Linked DNA regions of Sus scrofa. The protein of the gene in region 1 purifies or fractionates together with the protein of each later gene. This does not show direct contact. Links are inferred from orthologs where the notes say so. Each region holds a gene or a part of one and is shown in the gene's direction. Other genes may lie near its edges.

Evidence for each region.
Region 2: the proteins of PABPC4 (region 1) and MKRN1 purify together in Homo sapiens (affinity purification with mass spectrometry; 3 studies listed by BioGRID and IntAct, with this or other methods). This does not show direct contact. The link is inferred for Sus scrofa from reciprocal best matches to the Homo sapiens genes PABPC4 and MKRN1.
Region 3: the proteins of PABPC4 (region 1) and G3BP1 purify together in Homo sapiens (affinity purification with mass spectrometry; 4 studies listed by BioGRID and IntAct, with this or other methods). This does not show direct contact. The link is inferred for Sus scrofa from reciprocal best matches to the Homo sapiens genes PABPC4 and G3BP1.
Region 4: the proteins of PABPC4 (region 1) and PAIP1 purify together in Homo sapiens (co-immunoprecipitation; 3 studies listed by BioGRID and IntAct, with this or other methods). This does not show direct contact. The link is inferred for Sus scrofa from reciprocal best matches to the Homo sapiens genes PABPC4 and PAIP1.
Region 5: the proteins of PABPC4 (region 1) and LARP1 purify together in Homo sapiens (affinity purification with mass spectrometry; 3 studies listed by BioGRID and IntAct, with this or other methods). This does not show direct contact. The link is inferred for Sus scrofa from reciprocal best matches to the Homo sapiens genes PABPC4 and LARP1.

The regions. Positions count from the first base shown.
Region 1 is NC_010448.4:95,388,615-95,394,760, reverse strand, and holds part of PABPC4 (polyadenylate-binding protein 4), read left to right. Parts: intron 1-896; coding exon 897-1,012; exon of another isoform or gene 1,013-1,151; intron 1,152-2,241; coding exon 2,242-2,381; intron 2,382-2,755; coding exon 2,756-2,850; intron 2,851-3,526; coding exon 3,527-3,664; intron 3,665-4,674; coding exon 4,675-4,770; intron 4,771-6,146.
Region 2 is NC_010460.4:9,339,033-9,345,178, forward strand, and holds part of MKRN1 (E3 ubiquitin-protein ligase makorin-1), read left to right. Parts: intron 1-3,573; coding exon 3,574-3,702; intron 3,703-6,146. UniProt on the Homo sapiens protein: E3 ubiquitin ligase catalyzing the covalent attachment of ubiquitin moieties onto substrate proteins. These substrates include FILIP1, p53/TP53, CDKN1A and TERT.
Region 3 is NC_010458.4:71,261,028-71,267,173, reverse strand, and holds part of G3BP1 (ras GTPase-activating protein-binding protein 1), read left to right. Parts: intron 1-565; 5' UTR 566-583; coding exon 584-678; intron 679-3,905; coding exon 3,906-3,987; intron 3,988-4,435; coding exon 4,436-4,609; intron 4,610-6,146. UniProt on the Homo sapiens protein: Protein involved in various processes, such as stress granule formation and innate immunity. Plays an essential role in stress granule formation.
Region 4 is NC_010458.4:28,111,751-28,117,896, reverse strand, and holds part of PAIP1 (polyadenylate-binding protein-interacting protein 1), read left to right. Parts: intron 1-3,944; coding exon 3,945-4,056; intron 4,057-5,876; coding exon 5,877-6,002; intron 6,003-6,146. UniProt on the Homo sapiens protein: Acts as a coactivator in the regulation of translation initiation of poly(A)-containing mRNAs. Its stimulatory activity on translation is mediated via its action on PABPC1. Competes with PAIP2 for binding to PABPC1.
Region 5 is NC_010458.4:68,391,099-68,397,244, reverse strand, and holds part of LARP1 (la-related protein 1), read left to right. Parts: intron 1-681; coding exon 682-791; intron 792-931; coding exon 932-1,059; intron 1,060-2,681; coding exon 2,682-2,891; 3' UTR 2,892-6,146. UniProt on the Homo sapiens protein: RNA-binding protein that regulates the translation of specific target mRNA species downstream of the mTORC1 complex, in function of growth signals and nutrient availability.

The DNA.
Region 1 (6,146 bases):
TTGCTCCCTGGCCTTGCTCAGTGGGTTCAGGATCCTGCGTTGCTGTGAGCTGTGGTGTAGGTCACAAACGCAGTGCGGATCCTGTGTGGCTGTGGCTGTGGCTGTGGCATAGGCCAGCAGTTGTAGCTCCGATTAGACCCTTAACCTGGGAACCCTCCATGTGCTTTGGTGTGGCCCTGAAAAGCAAAAAAAGAAAGAAACACATACCAAATGGGGAACTGCCTTGGAACTAGGCAACAGGGTGTGATAATTTTTTTTTTAATGCGGGAAATGACTCTGAAGTCTAAAAGTTCCCTTAAGATAATCTCGTGCCATAGCCCAGCATAAACTAGCAGGTGCTTCGTGTCTTTGTTTATTCTTCCCTCTGCCTGAAATATCCTTCCTGTTTCCTAACTTTGGAAGGCATCAAAAGGTTGACCGCAAAGTGTGAGCTGGGGGGGCGGGGGTGGGGGGGCAAAGTATCAGAGCAATGCCTCTGGTCTCCAGGAAGCTGTACTTAGTCATTTTAGAAGCATGCACTCTTTCTTCTCCTTGCACCTGTTTACGTGGAGCATTTTGTACAGCTTGTGTGGTGGTGGTTTACATGTCTGACTCCACACTGGATTATAATTCTATTGTGGGCTTAGGAAATGGTTTGTCTTTCTGTAGCCCGGTGTCCTTGACCCCCAGATAGCAAAATAGTTTTTTAATGAAAAAAAGAAGACATTTGGAATAGAAGCAGCCTCATAGTGGCTGCCATTTGTAAGTGGAACATGACTAGGTACCCACTGTAGTCTCCTGCCTTTTGACCGTGGATGGGTTAGAGGCTTCTCATAGGTCCTGAGCACAAGCCCACACAGCTCTCAAGTTTCTGGGGCTGAACAGTGGTGCTGAATGGCCCGCCTTGTCTTTGACAGGTGGTGTGTGATGAGAACGGCTCTAAGGGTTATGCCTTTGTCCACTTCGAGACCCAAGAGGCTGCCGACAAGGCCATCGAGAAGATGAACGGCATGCTCCTCAATGACCGCAAAGTGTGAGTGTCCCAGTCCGGAGCAACAGCCATCGCATGAGCCAGCCGTGGCCCCACCTCGGTATTAACTGGCACACACAAGGCGGCTACTGGTTCTCTCGGCCCAAGAGTGGCCTGCTCCTACCTCTCCACTCCAGGGCTGGTGAGTCTCCCTGCCCGAGCTGTGGCAGCCCTTTGACTCGCCAAGGTGGGCTTCCTGCCCAAGCCATGGCCGGCCTGCCGCCTCTCCCTTAAAAGCATCTGTCTTTGGGTTTTGTGAGCATCTGGGGCTGGCTGGAAGGCAGCTCTAAGACCACTTAAGTGGGGGTCTTGGCCAGCGGCAGAGTGGAGAGGGCCCTGGACTGACCAGGAGCTTTATACTAGTCGTGTGACCTTGGCCTTCCTCTGACTCAGGTCTGTCCATGGGGTCACTTGCCAGGGATTGATGCCAAATTGTCCCCTCCACTTGGCTAACTTATGACTCAGTGGCCTTCAAATACAAGGCTGGCTCCACAGTACTGCTTAATTTGGTTATAATGGAAAATCCCATCTGGTTGCAGAACCCTATTCATAACAGACCTTGTTGATTTGGTGTGGTTGCAGGACGGAGAGATGGGGTCTTAGTTAAGCCATGCAGGGAGAGGAGAAGGGACAATAAAAACAAATCCTGGCTATGACAAAGTCATTTCTGTCCTTTGATATTGAACGGATGGGTTGTATTGATGATATGTATGTATCTGGTAGTTAGGTCTTCTAAAGGTATCACTAGGAAGAAATCTAAAGATTCTTAATGTGTGGATACCTTTTCCTGCTAAGTGTAAACAGCACCAAAATGAATTAAGTGAAAAAACAAAGGCTCCCTCTTGGCTCACTCCAGCAACCTCACTCCTAGGCTTAACAGTGTTAACAGTTTGGTTTGTATCCTTCCAGACCTTTTCTATGCATTTACATAGATGCACAGAAATGAACGTTTTAAAAACATGGTCATCAGGTTTCTTCACGAAGGCAGTGTGATGTGGTAGGAGGAGCCCTGGTCTGAGCTGGGGGCCCTGGGGCTGGCCCTCGCAGGACAGTCCTGCCTCTTTTCTTTTTCTGCTGGGGAGTTGGGGCATCTCTGAGCTTGCTCTTGGTGGTTGGATGGGGACATGTGTGTTTTAACCTCTCCTGTCAGCCTTTAACCTGCGTTGCCTTGGGCCCCTGGAAATCAAGTTCTTTTCCTCTGGGTGATGACTGTTTCCATGGTTTCTTTTTAGGTTTGTGGGTAGATTCAAGTCTCGAAAAGAGCGAGAAGCTGAGCTTGGAGCCAAAGCCAAGGAATTCACCAATGTTTATATCAAAAACTTTGGAGAAGAGGTGGATGATGAGAATCTGAAAGAGCTCTTCAGCCAGTTTGGTAAGTTGAGGTCTTTTGCCCTATGTGTCTCTTTTCATAGTCCAGTAGACCTGGAATTTGTCTGTTTTTATTTACTTAAGAGATGGGGGCGCCTAGAGGCAGAAGTAAAATGCCTTGCATGACAAAGGCCACAGGGTAGATAGGAATAGACTCCAGGCTTCGGCTCTTGGCTTCATCCTACCTCGTCTTATCCCCAAGGCCCTCTCAGCAGCTTGATCAGAATTAGAAATTCAGGCATGCACTCAAAGGTGCCTCTTTCTTTGAGTCCATCTCAGTTCAGCAGGAGGGTGCTTCAGGTGGGCTCCTAGAGAAGCCTACTTTCCTTGAGCTGTGGTAGAGATTCTGTTACTAATAGTTCTGTCCTTTGGTAATAGGTAAGACCTTAAGTGTCAAGGTGATGAGAGATCCCAGTGGGAAATCCAAAGGCTTTGGCTTTGTGAGTTACGAAAAACACGAGGATGCCAATAAGGTGAGAGTACCACAAGGGTTGGGAAAAATTTGTAGGGAGTGGCCCCAGTGTGTGGGCAGGGCCTTGCTAGCACATAGTAGAGTGGAGCTGAATTGAATAGTAAAGTGGAGCTGAATTGTTTGAGTCCCTAGTGGTAATGTACAGTGTGCCCTGGGATTGTCTTCCTGAGGGATTTTGCATGTTAATACAAGTATTTTCAGGGTACTTGGTATATGCCTGTTAGCCAGGCTGTTGAAAGAATAGGGCAGGCATTTGGTCATAGGTGAGGGAACCAAGGGCCTGGAGTTGCTGATTCGATAACAGAACAGCATCCACTTATGGGTTAAGCATTGTGCTAGGCCTTCAGCATAGATGATTCAGTACCCACAAGAGAACCTGAGAAATTTCGTGACAGCCAGATGATCAACCTAGGCTCATGTCTGCTATGCTTGTGTTTATACACCTGGACTATTCTTTTACTCACATCTGGACCAGTAGTCCATTTAAATACCAACCCCATTTTACTGATGAGGAAATTTGGGTTGGCTTAGCTGACTTCAGAGACGGGATAAGATTAGTTTTTAGCCCTATAGGGATGATTTCCTTCTCTCAGAATATTCAGTGGGACTTAATCAGACCTCCAGAGCAAGGCCCCTGCCTCCGCACCTTGATTTAAAGACATGTGTTTCCTCTTTAGGCTGTGGAAGAGATGAATGGAAAAGAAATCAGTGGGAAGGTCATTTTTGTCGGCCGTGCACAGAAGAAAGTGGAACGGCAGGCTGAGTTAAAGCGGAAATTTGAACAGCTGAAACAGGAGAGAATTAGTCGCTATCAGGTGAGAGGTTTTCTTGGCCCAGCCCGCCAGCAGGCCACGTACCATGAGATGTTGGCAAAAACAGGCTTAGTTTAGCAGGCTTCTTCCTCTTTGAGGACCTTGAGTCTGCTCTTCCTCATTTCTCCCAAGATTGTCAGGCTTAAAGGATATATGTACCAGATACAGCAGCAATTCTAGAACAAGGACAAGGGAGGTTTTTTCATTTTAGGGACTCTATTCTGGAAGCCTTAGTCTGTTCTTTTGGCGCTTTTTGTTTTTAGGGCCGCACTTAGGGCACATGGAAGTTCCTGAGCTAGGGGTCGAATAGGAGCTGTAGCTGCCTGCCTATGCCACAGCCATGAAAATGCCATATCCTTAACGCATTGATTGGGGCCAGGGATCGAACTCATGGATACTAGTCAGATTCTTAACCCACTGAGCCACAGTGGAAACTCCTGGGGTTTTTTTGGCCACACCTGCAGCATGTGGAAATGGGCCAGGGATTGAATCTGACCTGAAGCTTCGATTAGGCCACAGCTGTGGCAGCACCAGATCTTTAACCCACCAAGCCACTGCAGAGATTGAACCCGAGCTGCTGCAGAGACAGTATGGATCCTTAACTTGCTGTGCCACAGTGGGAACTCCCAGTCTGTTGTTCTTAGTCCTGTGGGTTCCTTTTTTCTTAAATGATACTGCTTTGTTTGGAATGGTGATAAGGAGGCCCTGCTGGGTCAGTGGTCAGCCAGGGCAGCTGTGAGGAATGCTGAGACTACATCGATGGTCCTGATAGTCTTAAGGTAGTAGTTTCTCAGCTTCATACTGCATCAGACTCCCCTGCAGGACTTGTTAAAACAGATTGCTGGGCCCCAAAATTTCTGATTCATTAGATGCAGGTTCTGGCTTGAGAATTTATATTTCTAACAGGTACCCAAAGGTACCACTGCATGTCTGGGGATCATAGTTGGAGAATCATCGTCTTCAGGAATGTATGAGGTATAGAAGTGCAATTAACCGTGATCTTTTTGCTTCAGGGGGTGAATCTCTACATTAAGAACTTGGATGACACCATTGATGATGAGAAGTTAAGGAAAGAGTTTTCTCCTTTTGGATCAATCACCAGTGCTAAGGTATTTTATACTGAGATTTTGGGGTTGAAGCAGACGTTGTAATCTATTTTAGAGGTTTATTGCATTTGTTTCATCTAAGGAGTAGGATCTAAAATTTTTTTTTTTTTAAGGCCGCACTCGCGGCATGTGGAAGTTTGAGAATTGGAGCTGTAGCTGCAGACCTACACCACAGCCACACCAGATCCAAACTGCATCTGCGACCTACACCGCAGCTCACAGCAATGCCCCATCCTTAACCTACTGAGCGAGGCCAGGAATTGAACCCGCCGTCCTCATGGATACCAGTTGGGTTCGTTTCTGCTGAGCCACAACAGGAGCTCCATAATCTAAATTTTGTCCGTTTCTGAGATTAGCTACTACATTAATCTAGCAAATTTCTCCTGGCTTTTCCAGTTACTCATCTGAGCATATACTCTGGAGAAATGACATTTTATTAGGTTAGCATTTCACTGTCTCCCAAGCACTGATGGGGCAGGGTTGGAGATGAATCGGACTCAGTGTTTCCCAGAGCACCTGAATCTTTCCCATTCTTTGCTGCTTCGTGCTGGTGTGGGGACAGATGGTGCCACAGTATGAGCAGAGGAAATCCAGACGGGTTGTTTCCTGTTTGTCTTGGGACCTGTCTCTACACCTCTGCCACACTTCTTTGAGTGGAGGTATTTTGAGGATTTTGGAGCAGAGGTTGGGAACTTCCTGTCTGGTCTCATAAAGGAGGAGAGGGGAGGGGAAAGTTTGTTTTTCCATGTTTTGCAGTGTGCATTGTCTACTTGATTTTTTTTGATAATCATATCAACTGAGTTAGCCGGGTGAGTGAGTATGAACCATCTTTTGAAGATGAAGCGTTTTCTCCTTGAGCAGGCCGCCGTGCGTCCTTAGTGCTTTGTGTGTGTGGTGGGAACTGACAGCATCTGAATATTTTGGGTCATAGCTGATGCAGACGCTATTCCTGCTCCTCAGAGGTGTGGCACGTGTCACAGAGAGCTCTTAGGGCAATGAGTGAGAAAGGAGGCCTGGTGGGCCAGTGGAGGCTTGATGGCCCTATCTTGCTTGGCCCTTAACCTGGGAGCATTATCAGCTGCAGCAGGGTGTTGGCCAGAGCTGCCATCAGAAATTTCCTCAGTTCCTCACCCCCTCCCTTCTTCTTATCACCCCCTTGAGTCTCCAGCAGTGCAAGGAATGATAGTCTCGCCTAGCTGACCAGGACAGGAGGCAAGACAGCATTGGCCAAAAAAGAGCAAGAGAACCATATCTTGAGGTTTTCCAGGCACCACTTTTAGGATCATGGTGTCACATTACTTTCACACACCTTACTGATCCACCTCAATGGTAGATAATTGTTGGGTTAATACACATCTTTACTCCGAAATCCTTCACGT
Region 2 (6,146 bases), on another chromosome or scaffold:
TGGGAGCGGCCCAAGAAATAGCAAAAAAAAAAGACCAAAAAAAAAAAATAAATAAACAGCCTTCCAATTCTGTACTTTTTATTACTACTTAGATAAACAAACAATGGATGCAGCCTGATTGTAGTAACTGTTCTGGTAGCTGCAGCCACTGCTGGCTCTTGAAACTTAAGATGCACTAAAGTCCCTGGATGTAAATGTCTATAGTCAGTTGGCCAAGGATGGGCACCTGGAAGAAGGCGGCCTCGTGTAGTGTTTTAAAGTTTAAGACTAACTATGATGTTTCCTTGTTTCAGATCTTTTGGTGATTTCTTGGCTGCTTTAAGATAACTTGGCTTAGGAGTTGCCTGGTGGCCCATTGCGTTAAGAACCTGGCGTTGTCACTGTAGTGGTGCAGGTCACTGCTGTGGTGTATAGGTTCGATCCCTGGCCCAGGAACTTCTGTATGCTACAGGAGCGGCCAAAAAATAATAACTTGGGTTAAGAGGCCCTGCAGAAATCTGTTGCCTGGCTTTCTAGACCTATTTCCCCACAAGGGTGCCCTGTTCACTTCATTCTTGCTCATTGTTGTATTATGCTCTTGGTCAAAAGGTACTCATAGGCCATACTACACTGTCCCAGGTTAGCCAGTCTATTTGTTTTGTATGTTTTGTTTTTTTGTCTTTTTAGGGCTGCACCCACGTCATATGGGGAGGTTCCCAGGCTAGGGTTGAATCGCCAGAGCCACAGCAACACCAGATCGAGCCGCATCTTCGACCTACACCACAGCAACGCTGGATCCTTAACCCACTGAGCGAGGCCAGGGATGGAACCCGCAACTTCAGAGTTCCTACCTAGTTAGATTCGTTCACCACTGAGCCACAACGGGAATTCCAAGCCAGTCTATTTCTTGACTCTGATTTTTACTCTTTCATTTTGGATTCTCAGGAGCAGTTTTTACCATCATGAATGTCAAAAAGTGGTATAGGTGTTGAACAGTAAAGTGCAGGTGTGAGGGAATTAAGCTCCCTGAAGAAACAGTGTTGAGGAGTTTCCACTATGGCACAGTGGTTTGAGTCCAACTGCAGCAGCTCCAGTGCTGTGGAGGCTTGGGTTTGATCCCCGGCCCAGTGCAATGGGTTAAAGGATCTGGTGTTGCAGCAACTACAGCTTGGATTCGAGTCCCTAGCCTGGCAACTTCCATGTGCCTCTGGTGCAGCTGGAAAAGAAAAGAAAAAATGTTAATGTCAGCAGCTGTCAGGTCCTTATTCATGGGAGATAGTGACATAACGAAGAGCGTACTAAGCTTAAGTGCGCCAAATGATTGCGGGCATGGCAAAATGAGATTTAAGAACAACCTAAAATGCTGAGATTTGTGCCTGAGATTGAGGACTTAAACCTACCCAGTTGGAGATGTCTGGGTAGATATTTTATCAAGCTTGAAAACTGTAGCAGTATATGCATCTCTGACTTCAGACTGACCCCAAAGAAACATTGAAGATATGCATAGACAGCTTTGTTTTGTGTTTAGAATTGTGAGCCTGAACGTTCCCACTGCGGATGGGGCCGTAAGCAGCTGTATTCAGTGAGACTGTTTCAGAGGAATAACATTTAACTGTGGATAATATTAGAGATACTTTGAAGCATGATTATACTAGTGGTGAATGCAGTGAAATTATCAGTGATTTGTTTGGTGGTTGTGCTTTTTTTTTTTTTTTTTTTTTAAGTATTAATCTCTTTATGCAGTCAAATTACCTATTGGCACAAGTGGTTTAACTAAAAATTTCTTTACATGATGCTCAGACAGCTTCATAGCTTTCATAAAGTTGTCCTGGAGTTGAGCAAAAGTTCAGACCAAAGTTAGACTGTTAGTTTGATGACAGCTGAAATTAGGTTAATTATAGTTAGAATTTGACTTCCTACTGGTTTGTTTGTGGTCTTTTTAGGACTGTATCCTCAGCATATGGAGGTTCCCAGGCCGGGGGGGTCGAATTACAGCTGTAGCCGCTGTTGCCTGTGCCACAGCCACAGCCATGCCAGATCTGAGCTGTGTGTGCAATTTACACCATAGCTCACAGCAGCGTGGGGTCCTTAACCCATTGATCGAGGCTAGGGATCGAACCTGCATCCTCATGCATGCTACTCAGATTTGTTTCCACTGAGCCACAAACTGAACTGCGTACTGTGCTGTCTTGTTATGGACTGAAACCCTAGGGCACTCTAGGATCTTGATAATTATAACTGTTCCCATTAAGATGTTACATTTTTTTTCTGTGTTACCTACTTGCTAGTAATGTCACATTTCAATTTGAGGCAGCCTTCTTCCAAGCTCCTTAGGTGACTACATGAATCTGTTTTCTGTGTATCATTCAATTCAGTTAACAAGTGGATTCTACCTACCGCCATTGTATCTACGATGTCTAGATAACTGTGACATTTAGACCAAGGAAATAGACACTGTTTTCCTTACTCGGTACTAGTTGTACATAGATGGATATTTGGGGGAATGGTGGCCTGCCAAAATTAAATCTTCTTAACTTTGCTCAAGAGAAAGAGACTGATAGAGGGCCAAAGAATAAAAAAGTGACCTCTGACGAATGAAGTCAGTGATTTGTGGGGGCTGGTTCTGCCTATTTTACAAGATCAGAGTTATCTATAGAAAATACCCTACCCCTGATCCCCACCTGGTTCTTAGAGAATTACAGGTACTGCTTGGCTCCTCCCTCTTTCCAATTTAATAGGTTTGAGGTAAGATCTGAAATTTTACATTTCTAGCAAATTCCTAGTCCATGCTTGGTTTTCCAGAAACTTCTAGTTAGGGATACATGTGAAGGATATAATAAAGTGATTTCTCTTGCGTCTACCTTTGCAATATATTTTACTTTTTTTCATTTCTTTTGTCTTTTTAGGGCCGCCCCCAAGGCATATGGAAGTTCCCAGGCTAGGGGTTGAATCAGCTGTAGCCGCCAGCCTCCACCACAGCCACAGCAGCATGGGAATCCCAGCCGTGTCTGTGACCCACACCACAGCTCATGGTAATGCCAGATCCTTAAGCCACTGAGTGAGGACAGAGACTGAACCTGCATCCTCATCGATGCTAGATGGGTTGGGTGACTGCCGAGCCATGGTGGGACTTCCCATTTCACTTGTATTTTCATGTGTGGCTTTTAAAGAATTAAAATGGTTTCTCGAAGAAGTGAAACAGAGTAGTCTGGCCTGTTCCAGTTTATGTTGTTTCTTGCTTCTTTGATTCTTTGACAGAAGACGTAAGTTAGTGGAAAACGAGCAGCTACCTCTGTGGGACTGTGAAATGAGAAGGGTGGTCACATTTAACCTGCAGACAAGATAAAAGACCATCTGAGAGTTTCAGTTGGGGACCGTATCTATAGGCAGCCTTCTTGTGGTACCACCCTGGATAATTTTATGGTCATACAGGCTAGGTCTGCTTCCTTCGTGTTCGCGTAGATGGAGTAGAATAGCAGAATACACTGCTAGTCTAGAGTGCTCCTTTGTTACTGGTAGAATATGTGGATCATGACTCCTTTGGGTGCTGCCTTCAGTCTTTCGTAATCCGACTTGTGGTTCTTTGTCTCGCAGGTATTTCATGCATGGGGTTTGTAAGGAAGGAGATAACTGTCGCTATTCACATGACCTCTCTGACAGTCCATACGGTGTAGTGTGCAAGTATTTTCAGCGAGGGTACTGTATTTACGGAGACCGCTGCAGGTAAGAATTTGTTTGTAAATCAGTTTTGTTCCGGGGTGAATGGAGACACTGGGAGAAAAAAAATGAGAGTAAAATACGTAATTCTGACAGCATCATAAATGATAGATTTAAAACAGTACTTTGCAAAGTGCTCCCTGGGAAAGTTAGCACATCAACAAATCTCTCCCTTGCAGGGAATGTATTACATTAAAAAAGGAGTTCCCACCGGGACTCAGTGGGAAGGAACCTGACTAGTATCCATGGTGAGGATGCAGGTTTGATCCCTGGCCTCACTCAGTGGGGCGGGGACCCGGCATTGCCGTGAGCTGTGGGATAGGTCTCAGATCTGGTGTGGCTCTGGCTGTGGTGCAGGTCAGCAGGTGCAGCTCTCATTTGACCCCTAGCCTGGGAACTTCATATGCTGCAGGTGTGATCCTAAAAAGCAAAAGCAAAAAAAAAAGTGTATTAGTACAGTCCTAAGTTTAATTAGTGCCTAAGGAACAGTTTCTGCAAACCTAGGGACAGGGCGTGGTGATGGTATATTTGTAAATGGCTTTTCCTTTCAAGACCGGAATGAGGTGCATATTTGACCAATTGGGACTAGTTTCAGTTATTCTCTATTAGTATGAATTATGGTGAGAAAAGTGGGATCATGCGCACTAGTTACTAGTTAAGAGGGTTTGTCCTTCCAACTAAACTTTCCTAAACTACCTGAGCTCACAAGAATAATTTTTTTTTTTTTTTTTTTTTTTTGTCTTTGTTGTTGTTGTTGTTGTTGCTATTTCTTGGGCCGCTCCTGCGGCATATGGAGGTTCCCAGGCTAGGGGTCTTCGGAGCTGTAGCCACCAGCCTACGCCAGAGCCACAGCAACTCGGGATCCGAGCCGCATCTGCAACCTACACCACAGCTCACGGCAACGCCGGATCGTTAACCCACTGAGCAAGGGCAGGGACCGAACCCGCAACCTCATGGTTCCTAGTCGGATTTGTTAACCACTGCGCCACGACGGGAACTCCCTCACAAGAATAATTATATGCTAAAATTTAGTGGAAATACTTTAGAAATATCTCTAGTATCTCTCAGAGTATTGGAGAACCAAGAGTGATTCGTTATTAAGTAATCTCTATCTTCCCCTAACTAAGACCTAGGGGTCTTAGTTACCTATTGATGTTAAACAAATTAATGTGAAAGTGAGCAGTTTAAAAACAACAGTTGGAGTTCCTGTCATGGCTCAGTGGTTAACGAAACTGACTAGGAACCATGAGGTTGCGGGTTCAATCCCTGCCCTTGCTCAGTGGGTTGAGGATCCGGCGTTGCCATGAGCTGTGGTGTAGGTTGCAGACGTGGCTCGGATCCTGCATTGCTGTGGCTGTGGTGTAGGCCTGCAGCTACAGCTCTGATTAGACCCCCTAGCCTGGGAACCTCCATATGCCACAGGTGCGGCCCTAGAAAAAGACAAAAAAAAAACACCAAAAAAAAAAAAATCACACATAGTTTATTATCTCATAGTTTCTGAGGGGTCTGGCCTCTGGGGGTACCTTAGCTGGGTGATTCTAGTTCAGAAAGACTCTTTAAGAGATGAGCAGTCAAGGAATTCCCCCCGTGGCTCAGTGCTTAACGAACCCGTCTAAGATCCATGCATATGCAGGTTCAATCCCTGCCCTCGCTCAGTAAGTTAAGGATCCTGTGTTGCTGTTAGCCGTGGTGTAGGTCACAGACGTAGCTCAGACCCTGCATTGCTGCGGCAGCTACAACTCCAGTTCTACCCCTGGCCTGGGAACCTCCATATGCCTCAGGTGTGGGCCTAAAAAGACAAAAAAAAAAAAAAAAAAAAAAAAGATTGCAGTCAAGATTTCAGCAAGGGCTACCATTACCTGAAGTCTTGGTGGGGGCTGGGCCATCACTCTTTTGGCCACAGAAGTTCCAGAGCCAGGGGTCAAACCAGTGCCGTAGCAGTAACCGGAGCCCCAGCAGTGACTCTGGAGATCACTTTCTTTTTTTAAAGGGCTGCACCTGTGGCACATGAAACTTCTTGGTCTAGGGGTAGAATTGGATCTGCTGATGCTGGCCTACACCACAGCCACAGCAACACCAGATCCGAGCCTTGTCTGGAACCTACACCACAGCCCACTGGATCCTTTAACCCAGTGGGCAAAGCCAGGGCTCTAACCTGCATCCTCACCAGTCAGATTCTTAAGCTGCTGAGCCACAACCCCTCAGGGATCACTTTTTAACCTGGCTCACTCCCACGTCTGTGGAAGGGAGTCTTAATTTCCTCGCCACAGGGACCTTTCCCCAGGGCTGCTTCAGTGTCTCTGCACTTGGCAGTTACCCGTCCCCAGAGGAAGTGATTCAAGAGACAGCAAGGGTGAAGCCATAATGCCTTTTTATGACCTAGTCTCAGTGTCACACACTGTCACTTCCCCTATATTCTGTTTTTTATAAGTGAGTCACTAAGTCCAGCC
Region 3 (6,146 bases), on another chromosome or scaffold:
AGAAAAAAAAACCCCACAAAAAAAAAACAAAAAAAAAGAAAACTGAATGTGGGAAATAATGATGAATTAATTCTTCATAGTGGTTTTTTCCCCAAGCATTCATCTAATTGCAATAAATTTGAACGTATAAAATCTCACTGGTCTGTATGTGTTTTGTTTATTCTTTGTTTTTTATTTTTTTTCTTTCTAGGGCCGTGCTTGCAGCATATGAAGTTCGCAGGCTAGGAGTCAAATGGAAGCTGCCGGCCTACAGCACAACCACAGCAACGCCAGATCCAAGCCTCATCTATGACCTACACCACAGCTTCTGTCAATGCTGGGTCCTTAACCCACTGAGAGAGGCCAGGGATCAAACCTACATCCTCGTGGATGCTACTTGGGTTCTTAACCACTGAGCCGCAGTGGGAACTCCCTTACGTTCATTCCTTTTAAAAACCATGAATTGCTGAAGTAGTCCCATCAGTCTGAGCTGATCTTAGCTACATGGTTCAGTCTTCTCCCTGCCGCTTTCTCCCCTTCTGCTTGATCTTTGAAGTTGAACATACTTGACTTTTTTCTCCCCCAGGTTGAATTGACCAAAGCAATGGTTATGGAGAAGCCTAGTCCCCTGCTGGTCGGGCGGGAATTTGTGAGACAGTATTACACGCTGCTGAACCAGGCCCCAGACATGCTACACAGGTAAAACCTTTTTTTCCCAGGCAGCATTTATGCTATGTTTTAGTATGTGGGAACTGAAAATATGAGTGTATAACATTCATGCTTTTGTGTTTTTGTTTTGCTGTTTTTGGTGAATCATGAATCATGGAAGAATGAATTGAAGATAGGAGACTGTTCCAATAATGACATTCATCTATGTTGATACGCTTTAAAATATTGCCGTATCTTTTTAATGGAAATGATTTATGTTTATTGTAAATTAAAACATGTATGAACAAAGATGGAAGTCTTTAGTGAAACAATACCAGTACCAATTTCTTTATGGATCTGCACATAAATATTCACACACATATCTATCTATTTGGCTTTTTAGGGCCACACCCACGGCATATGGGGATTCCCAGGCTGGGGGTCCAGTTGGAGCTGTAATTGCTGGCCTGTGCCACAGCCACAGCAACGCCAGTCTGAACTGTGTCTGCGACCTACACTACAGCTCATGGCAGCGTCGGATCCTTAACCCACTGAGCGAGGCCAGGGATCAAACCTGCATCCTCAAGGATACTAGTCATATTCGTTTCTGCTGAGCCATGACAGGAACCTCTATCTGCACATTTTTTTAATATACTGTTTAGCTGTTTTACTTGATACCTGATGATTTTACAAGGGTAGTACATATGTTAATTTTAGTACATATATTAATTTTAGTATCCACAAAGTTAATTTCCAGGGATGTAGCATGTACTTTAATCCTCTAATAAAGAATAATATGTGGAGTTCCCGTCGTGGCGCAGTGGTTAACGAATCCGACTAGGAACCATGAGGTTGCGGGTTCAGTCCTGCCTTGCTCAGTGGGTACGATCGGCGTTGCGTGAGCTGTGGTATAGGTCGCAGACACAGCTTGGATCCTGTGTTGCTGTGGCTCTGGCGTAGGCTCGATTAGACCCCTACCTGAAACCTCCATGTGCCATGGAAAAAAAAAAAAAAAAAAAAAAACAAACAAACAAAAAAAAGAATAATATGTAAATTGCTGCCATTATTTCCTCCTACAAACAGTGGTGCATTATACAAAACTTTTAAGTATTGTGTTGGACTTTACTAGAATATTTCTTTTTTTCTCTTTTGTCTTTTTAGGGCCGCACCCACGGCATATGGAGGTTCCCAGGCTAGGGGTCTAATTGGAGCTGTTGCTGCTGGCCTACGCCAGAGCCACAGCGATGCTGGATCCGAGCTGTGTCTGCAACCTATACCATAGCTCACGGCAACGCCGGATCCTTAACCCAGTGATCGAGGCCAGGGATCAAACCTGCGTCCTCATGGATACTAGTCATATTCAATTCCGCTGCACCTTGACAGGAACTCCTTTTTTTGTCTTGGACTTTACTAGAATATTTCTTAGAAATTCTGAAAATGTGTATTTGCTGGGCCATAGCTACTTTTTCTTCTATACTTGGCTAGCTTGCCTATTGGATACCACGTGAATAATAGGTGTAAATGAAATTCATTTTGAGCCCTTGCTCTGAAAATGAAAAAACATCCCTTGGCTAGTTTTTTTAAAGGCTTTACAATTTCCAAAACACTATTTTACCTGTTTCCTTTTTTTTTTTCCTTCCCTTTTTTTGGTCTTTTTAGGGCACTACCTGCAGCATATGGAAGTTATCAGGCGAGGAGTCAACACTGCAGCTGGCCTACACCACAGCCACAGCAGTGCGGGATCTGAGCCATATCTGTGACCTACACTACAGTTCACGGCAATGTTGGATCCTTAACCCCACCGAGAGAGTCCAGGAATCCAACCTGTGTCCTCATGAATACTAGTCAGGTCTTTATTGCTAAGCCACAACAGGAACTCCTTTTTCCTCTTGATCTTTGTAAAAACCTTCTAGTAAGGCATTGTAGTATATGAAGTTAATTTCTTTTCACAAATGAAGGTCCTAAGGGGTGAAAATTTGCTGGTATCCACACAATTATTGAGCGATGGAACAAATCTGTAAGCTTTTTTCCCCCCTTTTTATTGCTTTTTTGTCAAAATTGTATTTTATGCCCTTAGAAGTTATAAATTTGGAGTTTAAAATGCAGGTATTGAAACTAACCAAATACATTAATATATTTCTTGTCAGTATTGTTTATTGATTCATTTTTTTTTAAACATTTAATCTCTGAGTTACATTTCGATGCAGTGAAAAGTGGCTTAGCCAGCAGTGAACTGATTGACTGGCTGCAGCCTTTAATAACTTTTAAAAGTTAAAAGGCAGTTTTGGGATCTTCAAGGGCCCAGATCCATCCCTTTTGGCGGGGGCAGGAGGAAAAACAGGATGTAGAATGACATGTATATATAGGCTCATTCATGAAAAACTGTTCATCTGGAGTACAGGTGTCAAGTAATCCTAGTAGTAATTATCCCTGAATTACCGCATCCCGTGTGTGTGTGTGTGTGTGTGTGTGTGTGTGTTGGGGTGGGGTTGGCACTTTCCTAACCAGTACTAATGAAAGCAGTTGAGGATGTAGATGAATTAAAGCTATGGAGAAGCTCTTAATACATAAGTGAAAATTGTTAAACTATTAAACCCATTTGCCTGACTTACCGGGTTTTTAATGAGAACTCATCCCATGCATTCTTAGATGGAAAAGGATTCTCCAAGACTGTAGAGTATAGATAACCTTATCTACATCAAAACTGCCTGTGTTCTCCTTTGAATGGAAACAGAAATTTGTATTTTGAGTGGTCTTCCTAACATGAACTACAAAATCCTTCCCAACTGGATCATCCAATCCTGAGTTCCAGACTTGTAAAAATTTCTCGACCAGGAGTTCCCATTGTGGCTCAGTGGTAAAGAAGACCTGACTAGTATCCATGAGGACATGGGTTCAGTCTCTGGCCTCCCTCTGTAGGTTAAGGGACCAGCATTGCTGTGAGCTGTGGTATAGGTCACAGATGTGGCTTGGATGCTGTGTGGCTGTGGTGTAGGCTGACAGCTGCAGCTCCAATTTGACCCCTAGCCAGGGAACTTCCACTCGCCACAAGTGCGGCCCTAAAAAGTGAAAAAAGATTTTCTTTTTGGATGAAATTGACTCTCATTCAACACATGTTGCCACATGTATGGAACAGATACATCATTGTATACAAAGATGAAAAAGAAAACATTCCTGCCACCAAGAATGTACCTGGGAGGCAGATAGGTAACGGTCATGAACAATAAATAAGTAGTCTTAGGACATTTTAAGATGACAAGTGTCTTTCTGTTTTACAGATTTTATGGAAAGAACTCTTCTTATGTCCATGGGGGATTGGATTCAAATGGAAAGCCAGCAGATGCAGTCTATGGACAAAAAGTAAGTATAGCAAGCTTTACATAGGCTCTTAAGCAGCCAGAAAACTCGTAAGATTGAGGTGGGTACATGCTTAAGAGGTTTGTTGCTATTTGAAGATAAAATTTTTCAACCTCTATTGAGAAATACAGGTATTTAGTAACTGTTTGATTTATGTGGTAGTCATTGAAAAGCTTATGATGTCACTTTTATTCACTTTGTATGATACTCTGAGATAACTTGTTTTGGCCTGGGGATCTGTTGTAGAAATTTTTTGGTATGTTAATTTAGGAAATTAGTTTTAAAAAGCTCAACGTGATCACTGGGAATATGCTATTAAGACAAATTATAAGGGGGGTCTGTGTAGTTTAAATGTGAACACGTAAATTCTCTGTATTTGTTGTGTAAGAAAATGTTTTGTTCCTGGAGATGTGTAAGTGTTAAGGTATTAGCTCTTGCCTTGACTCCTTAGGAAATCCATAGGAAAGTGATGGCTCAGAACTTCACCAACTGCCACACCAAGATCCGCCATGTCGACGCTCACGCCACCCTGAATGACGGCGTGGTGGTCCAGGTGATGGGCTTGCTCTCGAACAACAACCAGGCTTTGAGGAGATTCATGCAGACTTTTGTCCTTGCTCCTGAGGTACGAAAAAAAAGTGAAGTTGTACATGTCTTTTTAAAAACTTTAAAAAAGTTTTTTTGGTGGCTGCGTCTGCGACATACAGAAGTTTCCTGGGCGAGGGGTCTGATCTGAGCTACAGCTGAGGCCTATACTGCAGCCATGGCAATGCTGGATCCGAGCCGCATTTGCAACCTACACTGTAGTTTTTGGCAGCGCTGGATCCTTCACCCGTTGTGTGAGGGCAGGGATTGAACCTTCACCCTCAGATACTGTGTCAGGTTCTTACCCTGCTCAGTCGCAACAGGAAATCCTTACCATTTTTAATTGTAAACCATTTGAAAAGTAAATTGGAGATATGATGCCTAGTCATCCTCAGATCCCCAAGTGAGCATTTCTTAAGAATATGAAACTGTATTCCAGTGCCAGTATAGTTATCAAGTTGAAGAAATATTTCTGTTATAAAATTATCCGTCTACAGTCCTTATTTAAATTTTGGTTATTGTCCCAATAATATTTTTTGTAGTGATTTTTTTTTTTTTTTTTTTTTGCTTGTCCAAGATTCAGTCTATGGTTACACATTGCATATAGCTGTCATGTCTCCTTAGGCTCTTTTATTATTTCCTTTGGATTGGTTTTAGGTTATAAGTGTTTTTGAGTGCCTCTTATTAGGGAGGCACTTGATGTTATTTGGTCCTGTTATTAGTATCAATTAAGATGTTGGTCATCAGGTTTTGCCACTGTAGCATTAATACTATTTTCTTGCTCAGTTAATGGGGGCGAGTCTTTGAGACTATGCGTATACCTTGGTCATCAAACTTTTATGCACTAGTTTTAGCACTTAGCTGATCCTGGCCAGAAAAATGGCGATCATCTAATTCTGTATTTATTTATTGGGCTACTTCTGTAAAGAACTTTGCCTTTTCTCCTATCTATAATGGAGTCTTTATTTAAAGGATTTAGTTAATTACTACCTTTTTATCAGTGCCTTAAAATATCCCGGATTTGCTAGGTGTAAACCCCTTCAAGCTGGTTTTTATTTTTTGGTGTTTTTTGGTGTTTTTTTTTTTTTTTTTTTTTGAGGGGAGGAAGCACTTTGTGGCACAAAGGCTCATCTTACACTCTTTCTGCTCCAGTTTCTACCCTGTTTTTGGAATCAGCTGTTTTTCTTGAAGGAGCTCGTTTTTTTTGTTGTTGTTGTTCAGTTATGCTTAAAAAAGGACCACGGTTGTATTTTGATTAACTGGACTTGTACTGTCTTTCTGACTGGTCCAGACTGAACAGTCAGGAAGCCTGTGTGCATGAGCTTGTGGAAGGGATGCCACTGGGATCTGCTGATAGAAAGCTTTCTCTGCCACTATTCTGTTGAAGGATAGTGAGTTTAAAATCCCTATCATTTTACTTTTTGAATATGAAATAATTCAATTGTCTATTAAAAATTAAATGAAATCATTTTAGTCATGATTTTTAGAGGAAAGCTTAGATTATCTGTAGTGTTAAAATTGTTGATAGGCTTCTAAAAATATGCAAGCGATTGTGCAATAATTGCTCATTATTCTAA
Region 4 (6,146 bases), on another chromosome or scaffold:
TTTTTGCCATTTCTTGGACTGCTCCCATGGCATATGGAGGTTCCCAGGCTAGGGGTCCAATCGGAGCTATAGCCACTGGCCTATGCCAGAGCCACAGCAACTCAGGATCTGAGCCGAGTCTGCAGCCTACACCACAGCTCACAGCAATGCCGGATCCTTAACCCACTGAGCAAGGGCAGGGATCGAACCCGCAACCTCATGGTTCCTAGTTGGATTCGTTAACCACTGAGCCATGACAGGAACTCCTAAAACACTAATTTTTTAGTAGCTAGTCTAGTTAATTCCCCATTTCTTTTTTATGTGTGGAGTCGTCTTTGCTATTCTTGCATGGTTATTTTCTCTGAACTTTAGAATCAGCATGTGAAATTACACAAATCTTGATATTTTAGAGATGACATTGAATTCATGAGCTAATGTAGAGAAATGAATTTTCTTGTAACTTGTTTTATTCAATAACAAGGTTGTCTTTGAGTTTATTGTAGTTTGCCTATTCTGTAAAGATACTTTTCTTTTTTTTTGTCATTTTAGGGCCACACCTGTGGCATATGGAGGTTCCCAGGCTAGGGGTTCCATTGGAGCTGTAGCCGCTGGCCTACACCAGAGCCACAGCAATGTGGGATCTGAGCCATGTCTGTGACCTACACCACAGCTCACGGCAACGACTGATCCTTAACCCACTCAGTGAGCTCAGGGATCGAACCCTCATCCTGATGGATGCTAGTTGGGTTTGTTAAGGGCTGAGCCATGACAGGAGCTCCTAAAGATACTTTTAATGGTTGCAGAGTATTCCGTCATGTGGCTGAACTGCTCTGGAACAGAGAAAAGATTCCAAAAGTACACTCCAGAGATGCTTGAAAATTAAGCTTTTGATGAAGGCGATACTTCAAATATATACGTGAAAGACAAATTGTGCTGCTGACATAGCTGGCTAGTTGTGTGGGTGGGGGAAACAAAGACTGGTTCCTGTCTTACTCTTTATGCTAAAATATATTTCAAATATATCAAAGACTTACAAGTGAGACAATAAATATGAGGGGGAAATTTGACAAATAAAAATCTTAGGTTGGTAAAAGATGTTTTAAGCAAGACATGATACCCACAGGCCCTAAAATAGGAAATTAAATTTAATTATATATAGATTATAATATTGAGGGGCTCATAAATTTATATGAAGTAAAGTAAAAATTAGGCAATTTGTAATACATGGCAGTGAGCTTATTTAATATCATAAGAGGGGCCTCTTAAGAATGAGTAAGAAAAAGACCAGTGTTTTAATAGAAGTATTTGGAATGACTCTGAATAGGTACATTTGGGGAAATGTATTTAACCTTACCTATAATTAAATGCAAATTATAGTTTCTAGAAAGATGTAACAGTGGGCACTTCTAGAAGGTAGAATGGCAGAAAGGCTTGTTTATCTTCCCTTGTGCTGCTGCTCCCCTTGCTCTGCCATAGAGTTACATAGAGACTTAAAATGGGTCCGAGTCCCTGCTCTTGAAAATTCTGATATAATTAGACTGAAGTAGAGCCTATGCATGGTATTTTTAAGCCTCCCAAATAATTCTACTCTAGTCATGGCTGAGAACTACTCTTTTTTTTTTTTTTTTTTTGCCTTTTCTAGAGCCGCTCCTGTGGCATATGGAGGTTCCCAGGCTAGGGGTCTAATCAGAGCTGTAGCCACTGGCCTGCGCCACAGCCATAGCAACGCTGGATCTGAGCCGAGTCTGCGACGTACACCACAGCTCACGGCAATGCTGGATCCTTAACCCACTGAGCAAGGCCAGGGTTCGAACCCGCAACCTCATGGTTCCTAGTCGGATTCATTAACCACTGCGCCACGACGATGGAACTCCTCTTTTTACTCTTTATCCCTGTGCATGCTTCTCTAGTACTAAGGTACTGTCAAAGACATTAATGTGGAGAAATGCAAATCATGTAACAAGTGAAAAGCAGATCATAATTCTGTTAAAAATATATACATACTTTGAAAAAAGCAGAAGTTATTTTCATAGCATTTACTTCTGGGTTGCAGTGACCTTGTCCCATATTTCCAAAAGGTTAAAACAGAAAAATATAATCATGTTTTGCTTTTATAATGAAAATCTTTAGCTTAAAGTTTTAGGGTCTTTCCTCTCACCTAGATAATCAACCATGTATAAGGGTAGGGTCTTGTTTTTGTATATAAATTAACGTTTGTTAATATATAATCTAACAGTTATGGCATTTACAAAATGAAAATTTCATTTCATCAAAGGTCTTAACTGCAAAAATTTTTAAAGGAAGGACAGAGAAAGGAAAGCAGCCAGCAAGGTGCTTGGAAAACTGAATTGTCATTATTGACTGACTCTCATTATTACCCAGAGTGTCCTGTTGATAAATAATCCCTGGTTTTTTTTCTGGTGAGGAATTAATTCACTGTGTATGAGAAAGGTAACAAGTGTCTTTGCATATCTGATTCAAACAGAAAATGTTGCTCATTTAATATAACTTTAAACTTTGGAATCAGCCACATAGGCACATAAGCTTTGCTGGGTTTATGGATGATGCGTAAACTGACATCAAGATAAATTCCTGGACAAGAAGTGATTTTTTCCTTTAAAAACTTTTTTTTTTCCCCCAAAGCAACCTAAACTGGTCCCTCAGATGGTGAAAACCATCAAGTCTTCATAAGCTGCTCCCTTGGTCTTTAAAAGGAGAACTATCAAAGTCAGTTTTATAAAACACAGACTTTCCTAGAATGTTTTTTTTTTTTTTTTTTTTTTTTTTTGTCTTTTTGCTATTTCTTTGGGCCGCTCCTGCGGCATATGGAGGTTCCCAGGCTAGGGGTCAAATCGCAGCTGTAGCGACTGGCCTACGCCAGAGCCACAGCAACGTGGGATCCAAGCCGCGTCTGCAACCTACACCACAGCTCATGGCAACGCTGGATCCTAACTCACTGAGTGAGGGCAGGGACCGAGCCCGCAACCTCATGGTTCTTAGTCGGATTTGTTAACCACTGAGCCATGACGGGAACTCCCCCTAGAATGTTCTAATCACCTTATCAGTAAAGATAAAATCTTGAACACTGAAAGTGAATATTTAAAATACATTTAAAAATTCATTTTAGTAACAGCTGATACCATAATTCACTGATGTAGACAATGACAGACTTATTGTGATTATTTTAGATATCTTGTAGGAACTATATCTGTAAGTTCTAAGGCAAGTGAACCAAGTGAGGGGGAAATCAAGCAAGGGAAAATAAGTGGACTCCTGTAGTCTCTTTTGGAAATAGGGACCAAATTAATTGACTTCTCTCTTTCTCTGTGGTTCCAATTGGGGACTTCTCCCCTTATTTCTCTTCTGATTTGTATGATAGGCTTAATTTATTTTCAGCTTAGTTGGAGGCTATCTATCTATATAAAACCAAAAATCTGTTTCAAAGTTCATATTTAGGCAAGAGTAAAATATTTTATAGAAAACTTGAGTAAAAACAGTGCTTTCTTAAAAAGTCTATAGGACAATAAGGTAAGGCTGCGGTTTTTTGTTTTTTTAGTGCTAGTATACAACAAACTTCATGAAATCTATGTTGCTTTAACTTGTTACAAACTTGATCTAATAGGTTTATTTTAATCTATTCCTAATCAGTTTCTTAAAATTAGCAATTTTAGTGTGAGAAGATGATGCATATTCTGGTCTCTACAATAGACAGAAGCACTTTTTATTACAGAAAATCAAGGTGTTGGTACATTATACTTGCCTGTGTATTGTTTGTGGCCAAACTGACAATGGTCATCTTGTTTGACTATTTAAAAAACAAAGCAAAAGAATGTATATATATGTATGACTGGATCACTTTGCTGTACAGCAGAAATTATTACAACATTGCAAATCAACTATAATAAAAAGTGCATCAAAAAAACACACAAAGCAATGTGAAATTACAAATGGTATATTTTTATTAGATGTCGGACTGAATATGAAGTTAAAGATCAAGCTGCTAAAGGGGATGAAGTGACTCGAAAACGATTCCATGCATTTGTACTCTTTCTAGGAGAACTTTATCTTAACCTGGAGGTAAGGTTTTCTTCTGTTCAGTACTGACAAAGCCTGAGAATACAAACTGATCTCAATGAGTGATTTGTATTCATATTAGTCCTTCACAACATTAAGAATGAAATGGGAAAGGAAGAAAATAATGTCTCAGTACCGCCTTATGGTAGTGTCCTTTCTCTAATGTACCAAATGTACTGTTTTTGTCTTCCTGTTCATGGCAGGATGTTGGAAAATAGTCACTAAGCATGTTAAAGTCTTTATGTACTTTTGGAAAGCCATGGTTTACATGTGGGTTTAAGCTTTTGGAATATAGATAATCATGCCTTTTTGAATCCTTGCATCATAAGTATTAATACATTTAATATGTTGAGTTTCAGGTGGTGACTTAAAAGCAGCTTGCCCTGTAGAGCACAAGCTTTGGATAAAGAGGGGGGAGACTAGAGTTTGTGGATCTTTTCCCCTTAATTACCCACAGTAGCTCTTTTTGGTCCCGTTTTTATATATTAACCTTCCATATAAACTGTATTTGTACAAAGTCTCCAGCTTAATTGTTGGTATACTTGAGTGTATGCTTGTTGGTAGGCAGTGTAAATGCTGAATATTACTTTGTAATGTATTTGCTTGATTTTTTTTTTGGGGGGGGGGCGAGTTATATCTGGATAAGCATACCTTCTTAAACTCTGATCTTTTGAGAACTCAGTATTGTAAACTCCTGAAAGGACACATGAACCCATCATCAAATGTGCATCACAGTCAGTGCATTTAAAAGGGTTGTGTCCAATCTCATGCCTCACTTATCCCTTTTTACCATAGAAGGCCTTATTTTAAAATAAAAAAATCTCATGCCTTAATCTTTTTCAGGTTCATTTTTCTTTTTTTCTTTCAGGGCCACACCCAAGGCATATGGGAGTTTCTAGGCTATGAGTCAAATTGGAGCTGCAGCTGCTGGCCTATGTCACAGCCACAGCAATGTGGGGTCTGAGCCATATCTGCAACCTACACCACAGCTTACCCGCTGAACCACAACAGGAACTCCTCAGTTCCATTTTTGTATAAGCCAAATAAGAGCACCAATCTAAAATGTGCCTTAAATGAAGAGTCACTTTAAGAATGTTGTCATGAGTTCTCTTGTGGCCCAGCAGGTTAAGGATGCGGCATTGTCACTGTAGCGGCTTGGCTGGACACTGTGATGTGGCTTCAAAATGGCCCAGGAACTTCCACATGCCACTGGTGCAGCCAAAAAAGAAAAAAAATGCTGTTGTACTTCCCATGTAGAAGTAGTGATGCAGTGTGTGGGAAGTATAAAGATAAGATATGGCTCCTGAACCTACAGTTCTTCAGGCCAGAGAGCTATGATACCTCTTCCATTCTGATGAAGGTTTTTTTTTTTTTTTTTAATGATTTTCTTTCTTTCTTTTTTTTTTTTTTTTTTTTTTTGCTATTTCTTTGGGCCGCTCCCGCGGCATATGGAGGTTCCCAGGCTAGGGGTTGAATCAGAGCTGTAGCCATTGGCCTACGCCAGAGCCACAGCAACGTGGGATCCGAGCTGCGTCTGCAACCTACACCACAGCTCACGGCAACACCGGATCATTAACCCACTGAGCAGGGGCAGGGATCGAACCCGTAACCTCATGGTTCCTAGTCAGATTCATTAACCACTGCGCCACGACGGGAACTCCATGATGAAAGTTTTTTTTAAAGAGTATAAAGAGCTATGTGTCCCCCAAAAGGGGTGAGCTAAATAGGCTAGCGAATGCCTTATGAACATTATAGAGGCTCAAGTTATTCTGAGCATATGTTTTGTATTATTTATTTGCTTTTCATTTTCTTTTGTCTCAAAGATCAAAGGAACAAATGGACAGGTTACAAGAGCAGACATTCTTCAGGTTGGTCTTCGGGAGTTGCTGAATGCCCTTTTTTCTAATCCTATGGATGACAATTTAATTTGTGCGGTAAAATTACTGAAGGTAGGTTTTACTTATTTTTTCCTTAAAATTTAACTGTTTCGTCTCTTTAGTGTATAATTTAGAAGAGGGAAAGTATGTATGGTACACAAATGAATTCACCATAAGTTATTGCTTTAAGTATTGCTTTTTTTTTTTTGGCTTTTT
Region 5 (6,146 bases), on another chromosome or scaffold:
GGAATTCCCGTCGTGGCGCAGTGGTTAACGAATCCAACTAGGAACCATGAGGTTGCGGGTTCGATCCCTGGCCCTTGCTCAGTGGGTTAAGGAGCCGGCGTTGCCATGAGCTGTGGTGTAGGTTGCAGACGTGGCTCGGATCCCGCGTTGCTGTGGCTCTGGCGTAGGCTGGCAGCTACAGCTCCGATTAGACCCCTAGCCTGGGAACCTCCATATGCCACAGGAGCGGCCCAAGAAATGGCAAAAAAAAAAATTTCTGAGTCCAATAGATTAACAAAACTCCTAATTGGCATGGTCACATAGCTTTGCAGAGGGCTCATATCAGGGATTGACAAACTTTCCATAAGAGATACACAACAAATCTTATTAGGCTTTGTGGGGCATAAGGTATCTGTTGCAACTGCTCAGCTCTGCTCTTGTAGCAGAAAGCAACCAGTGTGATACTTCATAAGCAAGTGGGTATGGGTAGTAGGCTGTTAACTCATTTAGCCCAAGTTTGCTGGTTCTTGACAGACATTTAGATTCGCCTTTAATGTTAGCCTTCTCAAAGAAGGCTTACCATTTTCTCAATCCACTTGTTTAAACTGTTTCATAGTTTATCTAGAATCCAGGTACAGTTCCTGTTTTAGATAAAAAAAAAAAAACTGTGTCCTGGTTTTACTGACTTGTATTCTCCTACAGGTATGGTTTGGAGTGCCTTTTTCGATACTATAGCTATGGCCTGGAAAAGAAATTTCGGCTGGACATTTTCAAGGACTTTGAGGAAGAAACCGTGAAGGACTATGAAGCTGGTAAGAGAGTTGAGGCTCTTTGAGCCCTGGTCATCCTGATCTTATGTTCTCTGCCCTGCACTCTGCCTGGTCTGTATCACATCACACCTCCCTCTGTCAGCCACCCAGCTTCTCTCTACCTCTCTCCTCTTTCCCTGCAGGCCAACTCTATGGGCTGGAGAAGTTCTGGGCCTTCTTGAAATATTCCAAAGCCAAAAATTTGGACATTGACCCCAAACTTCAAGAATACCTCGGCAAATTCCGTCGCCTCGAAGACTTCAGAGTAGATGTAAGTGGAAGTCTCTCATCTTCCCCACCCTGGTTGTCCAGGAAAAGAAAACCGGACCAGAGATCAGGATACCTGTGTTCTGATCCCAGCTGTGCCACTAGCCTGGGGACCCTTCCCACTCCCGTTTGGGTCTTAGGGTTTTTTTGTAAAATAAGAGTGAGGAGTAGGTGGCGAAGGCTAATAGTAGGATATGTGGTTGCTCCTCCCTCCCCTTCCTATGATGGATGTGCCTAAAACATCGTAGTGCTCCTTCCTTCTTATCACGCAACCCTCCTTGCTGCTGTGCCTAGTTACAGCTGATTAATGACAGTGAGTACCCAGTGTTAATGTTTTACTCTTTCTGGGAGAGATAAGTTCCAACCGGAGAAGTTTATAAATTATATTCAGTTCTTTGCCCTTCCATCCACGTCTTCCTGACGCAGTGACTCAACAGTGACATCCAGTGGTGGGTCAGAGTTATTGCTACTGGTTCTTTGTAGGTGCTGCAGGGACCCCAGAGATAAGTAAGACTTTCTCCTTTAGAGAATTTATAATGTAGTAAGGATATGCCAGTCGTCTTAGTTCCTTGAAACCTTTTCGAAAAGAGCAAATAGAAGTAAATAATAGTTATTTAAAAATTGGTATTGATTGTTTACTATGGGTCAGGCACTGTGCTAGGCCCTTTACCTTGACCTTATTTAACCTTTTTAATGTGAAGCAAGCAGGGTTTATTGTCAGCATCCCTGTAGCAGTGGATGAACTGAACCCCATGGCCACCCATTGAAGTAGTGGCAGTGCTGCTCAGGTTGCCTGATGGGATGATGAGTCTATTGACTTCTGTCCTGAAAGACTTCTCTAGTACGGGCCTGGAGGGGAGCGCCTGTGTAGAGAAGCCTTGTAATAGGAAGACTTGTTGAGGGTAGAATAAGAACGGCTCAGCTTTGGTGGCCAGAAAGGGAGGGAAGTGTCCTCAGGGTTACAGGACCTTTGGCAGTCGTGAGGCCAGACTGGATCCTAGTCTGACCCTTTGGGAGTTGCCACTCTAGCCCAGCAAGTTAAGGATTTGGTGTTACCGCAGCTGTGGCTTAGATTCCATCCCTGGCTGGGAACTTCCAGATGCTGTGGCTGAAGCCAAATCCGGAGGGGGTGGAGGTGGGAGAGGAGTGTCCTTTTTAGGGCCTCAAGGGGGATAAAGGCACACCTGGGCCTTCTGAACTGCGGAGTCTCAGCATATTGTAAACGACATTCCATTTATCATTTCTTGAGCAGTGACCCCTTCTTAGAAGGGAAGCAGAAACTTGTAGAGATAAAGTCCAGGACTTCAAAGGTAGATGGACCTGGTCCAGATTTAGTCTTCACCAGTTACAAATCATTTTTCTGTGCTTCATTGTCCTTATCTGTGAATTCAGATGGTCACGTGTCCATCAAAGTGACCATGAGTGAATACGTAGAAATCAGCACAAAGCTTGGATCTTGGTGTGGAGCTGTGCTCAGTGAGACTAGTAACTACTTCTGAGAGTTAGAAGCCTATTCATTATCTACCCTGGGAGCTGGGAAATAGGGGGCGTCTCTAAACAGCTCTGGCAAGCAAGGGGATGTGGATAGTGCTCCCTTATCACTTACGACTCCCTCCTCTGTTGCAGCCCCCCATGGGTGAGGAGGGCAACCACAAGCGACACCCAGTGGCATCAGGAGGTGGCAGCGGTGAGGGCAGGAAGCGGTGCCCCTCCCAGTCTTCCAGCAGGCCCTCCACCATGGTCAGCCAACCCCCCACACCACCTACCGGCCAGCCCACCCGGGAAGATGCTAAATGGACAAGCCAGCACTCGGACACACAGACTTTGGGAAAGTGAAAAGCCCCTTAGCTCTGGGGTCTGGGGGGGGAGAAGGGGTGGAGGGAGTAGATGAAAGTCCATGGGGTCCCCAGTCCCGGGAGAAGGGACAGAGGAGGGACAGGCCTAGGGTCATTAGCACGGGCCTTTGTGCTGAGTAGCAGTATGTACACCATTTGGGCTATCGGGTGCCCCTGGGCAGGAGCCTCCACACATCCCTTCCCCCTTCTCTCTCCATGACTCTTCTTCACATCCTAGCTTCGGGGGGAGGGGAAGGGGGAAAAGTTTTTTTTATATATATATACATATATATATATATATATCAAGTTTTAAATTATTGATAGCTCGTCTGGATTACCAAAATCACTCTGCAGCCCTGCCCGCGGCTGGTAGGCCGCAACCCACTTCCAGCCGCCTCCTGCTCCCCTTCAAGCCAACTATGCAGCCCACAAGAAGGCCCTGTGGGGCCCCATTGCCCAGCACTGTCCCATGGAAGGCTCTGGCAGCGTCCCTGGACCCCACGAGCACCGGCCCCTTGACCATCTGGGGCTTGCCGTCACCGTGTTCTCTCCCCGCCGTCCCCACCACACCCTTCTGCCATCCTCTGGGAGAAGGAAACCAAAGGATCTAAAGGGGAGGGGCTCGCTCCACTCCCCTCTCCCCGTGCCCCTTACTCCCCAGCCCAGAAGGACGCTGCTCGTACCAGAAAAGACTATTGAAAGATGATTTATTTTATTTTTCTCAGACCTTTCCATCCTTGGGAAAATGGGGGGGGGAAAAAAAGATAAAATCGACCATAAAAGACCAAAAAAAAAAAAAAAAAAAAAAAGCATCAGAAAACCCCCACCTAATCCACAAAAAAATATCTTTCCTCTACCCTTGGATTTTTTTTTTTTTAATTTTTTTTTTTTTTGGTTTGTTCTTGGAAATAATATTTTTTTAAAAGTTGCCTTATTGTGGAGTGAGAATCTGAAATACCCAAATGCCTGTTTTCCTCGGTGGAGTCAACTTGAAGAGCTCCCACCTTCTCTGGATGTGCCTGGGCTGGATTGGCTAGGATCTTTCTCTGGACTGAGTTGCATGTACAGTGCCTCCTGCCTGTAGGCAAGAGAGTTGGGAGCGGCTCAGATCAGAGCCGTGCCTGAAATATCCCTGCTGTTGCATCATTTGAAGCTGACGTCCTGTGTCTGTACACTGCTGCCACTGTTGTGTCCTCGCTCTGCTTGCTGTTGCCTCACGCCAGGCCCCATCCTGTTGTGACACCCTTCATCCTACCCTTGGAACCCCAAGGCCAAGTTTGCTTCAAACTGTTGGAGGACAGCGTTGGCCTGGATCTGGGGCACACTCGTCCTCAGCTCGACCGTCTCCCCCACCTCAGAGGGGAAAACTGAACACTGGACAGCTGAGGCTTGGAAACATTTCTAAGTGTTGCCATGAAAGATTGGTGAGACCTCAAGGAGGCTTTGTCTCATAAAAGGTGGAGAAAGATGCCGTTCTCCCTTGGGCCGGGTGGGTATGCCCATCTTGTGTTCCCCTCCCGCGCAAGCCATTTCCACCCACCCTCCTGTGGACCCCACCTGCGAAGGAGACGAGGAAGCTTTGAGGGTGGGGGCGTCCTGCCGGTTGGAGAAGCCCCTTGGCAGGACGGCGTATGTGGACATGGGGTCTCCCCGACTTCTCTTCTCCAGCCACGGATTGCTTGGCTCGGGCTGTGACTGACAGTGGATTGGCTGGAGTCTCCTCGCATCCAAAGCTAGGGAGGGTGACTGAAGACCAACCCTCACAGACTGGGCCACGTGCCAGGTGCGGGTGTGATGACACATTTGCCCTGTGGTGGCAGTAGCCATGCACTCAGATTTCTTGGCGTTTTTTTCACTTGCTTCCTCTGTTGGGCCCTGAGGTCGGGAGGAGGAGACAGTATCTCAGGCTGGCAAGGGCTTGCCCCATCTTGGGCACTTCATTTCTTTGGCCGGTGCCCTCCCTGCATCTCTGTCCTCCCGGTGGTTAGTATGGGAAAGCCCATCTCAGTTCCTGTGAGCCAGTTGTCTTGAAAGCCAAGGTTGAGTGACCTCTGCTTTGACAGTGGGGTCTAAGGCCTCTCCCTGCCCAGTCTGGTGCCTGCCCCACAATGTACCAGACACTGGACTGTTGCACCCCGTCCTCTTTCCCTTCATTCCAACCCTTTTCCTTTGGGTCTCTCTCAGCCCTGTACTGTATCCAGCACCACAGAAACCTCAGTGTTTGTCCTCTGTGGGGTTTGGGGGCACAAGGAAGCCTTGGGGGTGTGGGGGTAAGGCTCTTAGCTAGAGCTTCCTCCCAGGCCTGGGGGCTGCCATTCTCTGCCTGATCCTCCCCACAGACACCCAAAAAGAGGCAGCCCCTTTGGGTGGGGAGGTTAGGACTTCATCTCAAAACAGGCTGAGGATGGGGGGAGGGGAGAGTGTTTTTCTTCCTTTTTTTTTTTTTTTTTTTTTTTTTTTTCCTTTTGTAACATGTTAGGAGTTATTGTTGCGAAGAGTAGTTTACATCTTCACTTTCTGAAGACACTTGAATTTAGGACCGATGTATCTGTGACAAGCATGCCAGGAGTAGCAAGGGCCATCAGGGCTTGCCACTTCATACCCACCATCTTCCATGGGGAATCCAAGATCTGAGCAACAAAGCAACAGCCTGCCTAAATCCTTCTGTTCATCCCGTGCCCTCCCAAGATGGGTCCATGCCAACACCACTTTTGAGCATCAAACATCACAAGGTCTGTACACCTCAGCCGTGCAGAGGGGCAGGTTTCTCTCACTTGCTCCTAAATCCAGGAGTAAATGCACTACCATGTAGAGAAGGGCTGCCCCAGCCTGCACCCCCTTGGGCTCAGATCGAGGTGTGAAGCCCCCATGTCAAAGTTAAGTTTTTGTTTAGTTTTATTGTAGCTCTTGTTTTCCCTTTCCTGATAACTGATTTAACAAAAGAAAGCTGCTCAAAAAGTCCTGGCAGTGGGGAGGAGGGGCAAGGAGGAAACAGCTAGCTGGTGGGGGCGGGTGTTGGGGGCTGGTTGACAGCCTGGGTAGAGTGGTCTGGATCATCTGGTGCCCTCCCAAGTGGGACCCCGGAGTAGCTCCTGTGTGGAGGGGTCCCTGGGTTTGCCCCAGCCCCACTCTCTCCTTGAGCCGTGTCGACAGCAGAGGCAGAGAAGATGAGGATGCACAGCCCATTTCTGACTGGAGAGGAAAGCTTGTCATCTGGCTTTGCGGAGAAGGTTCCACTTATGCTCATAGTCCATTA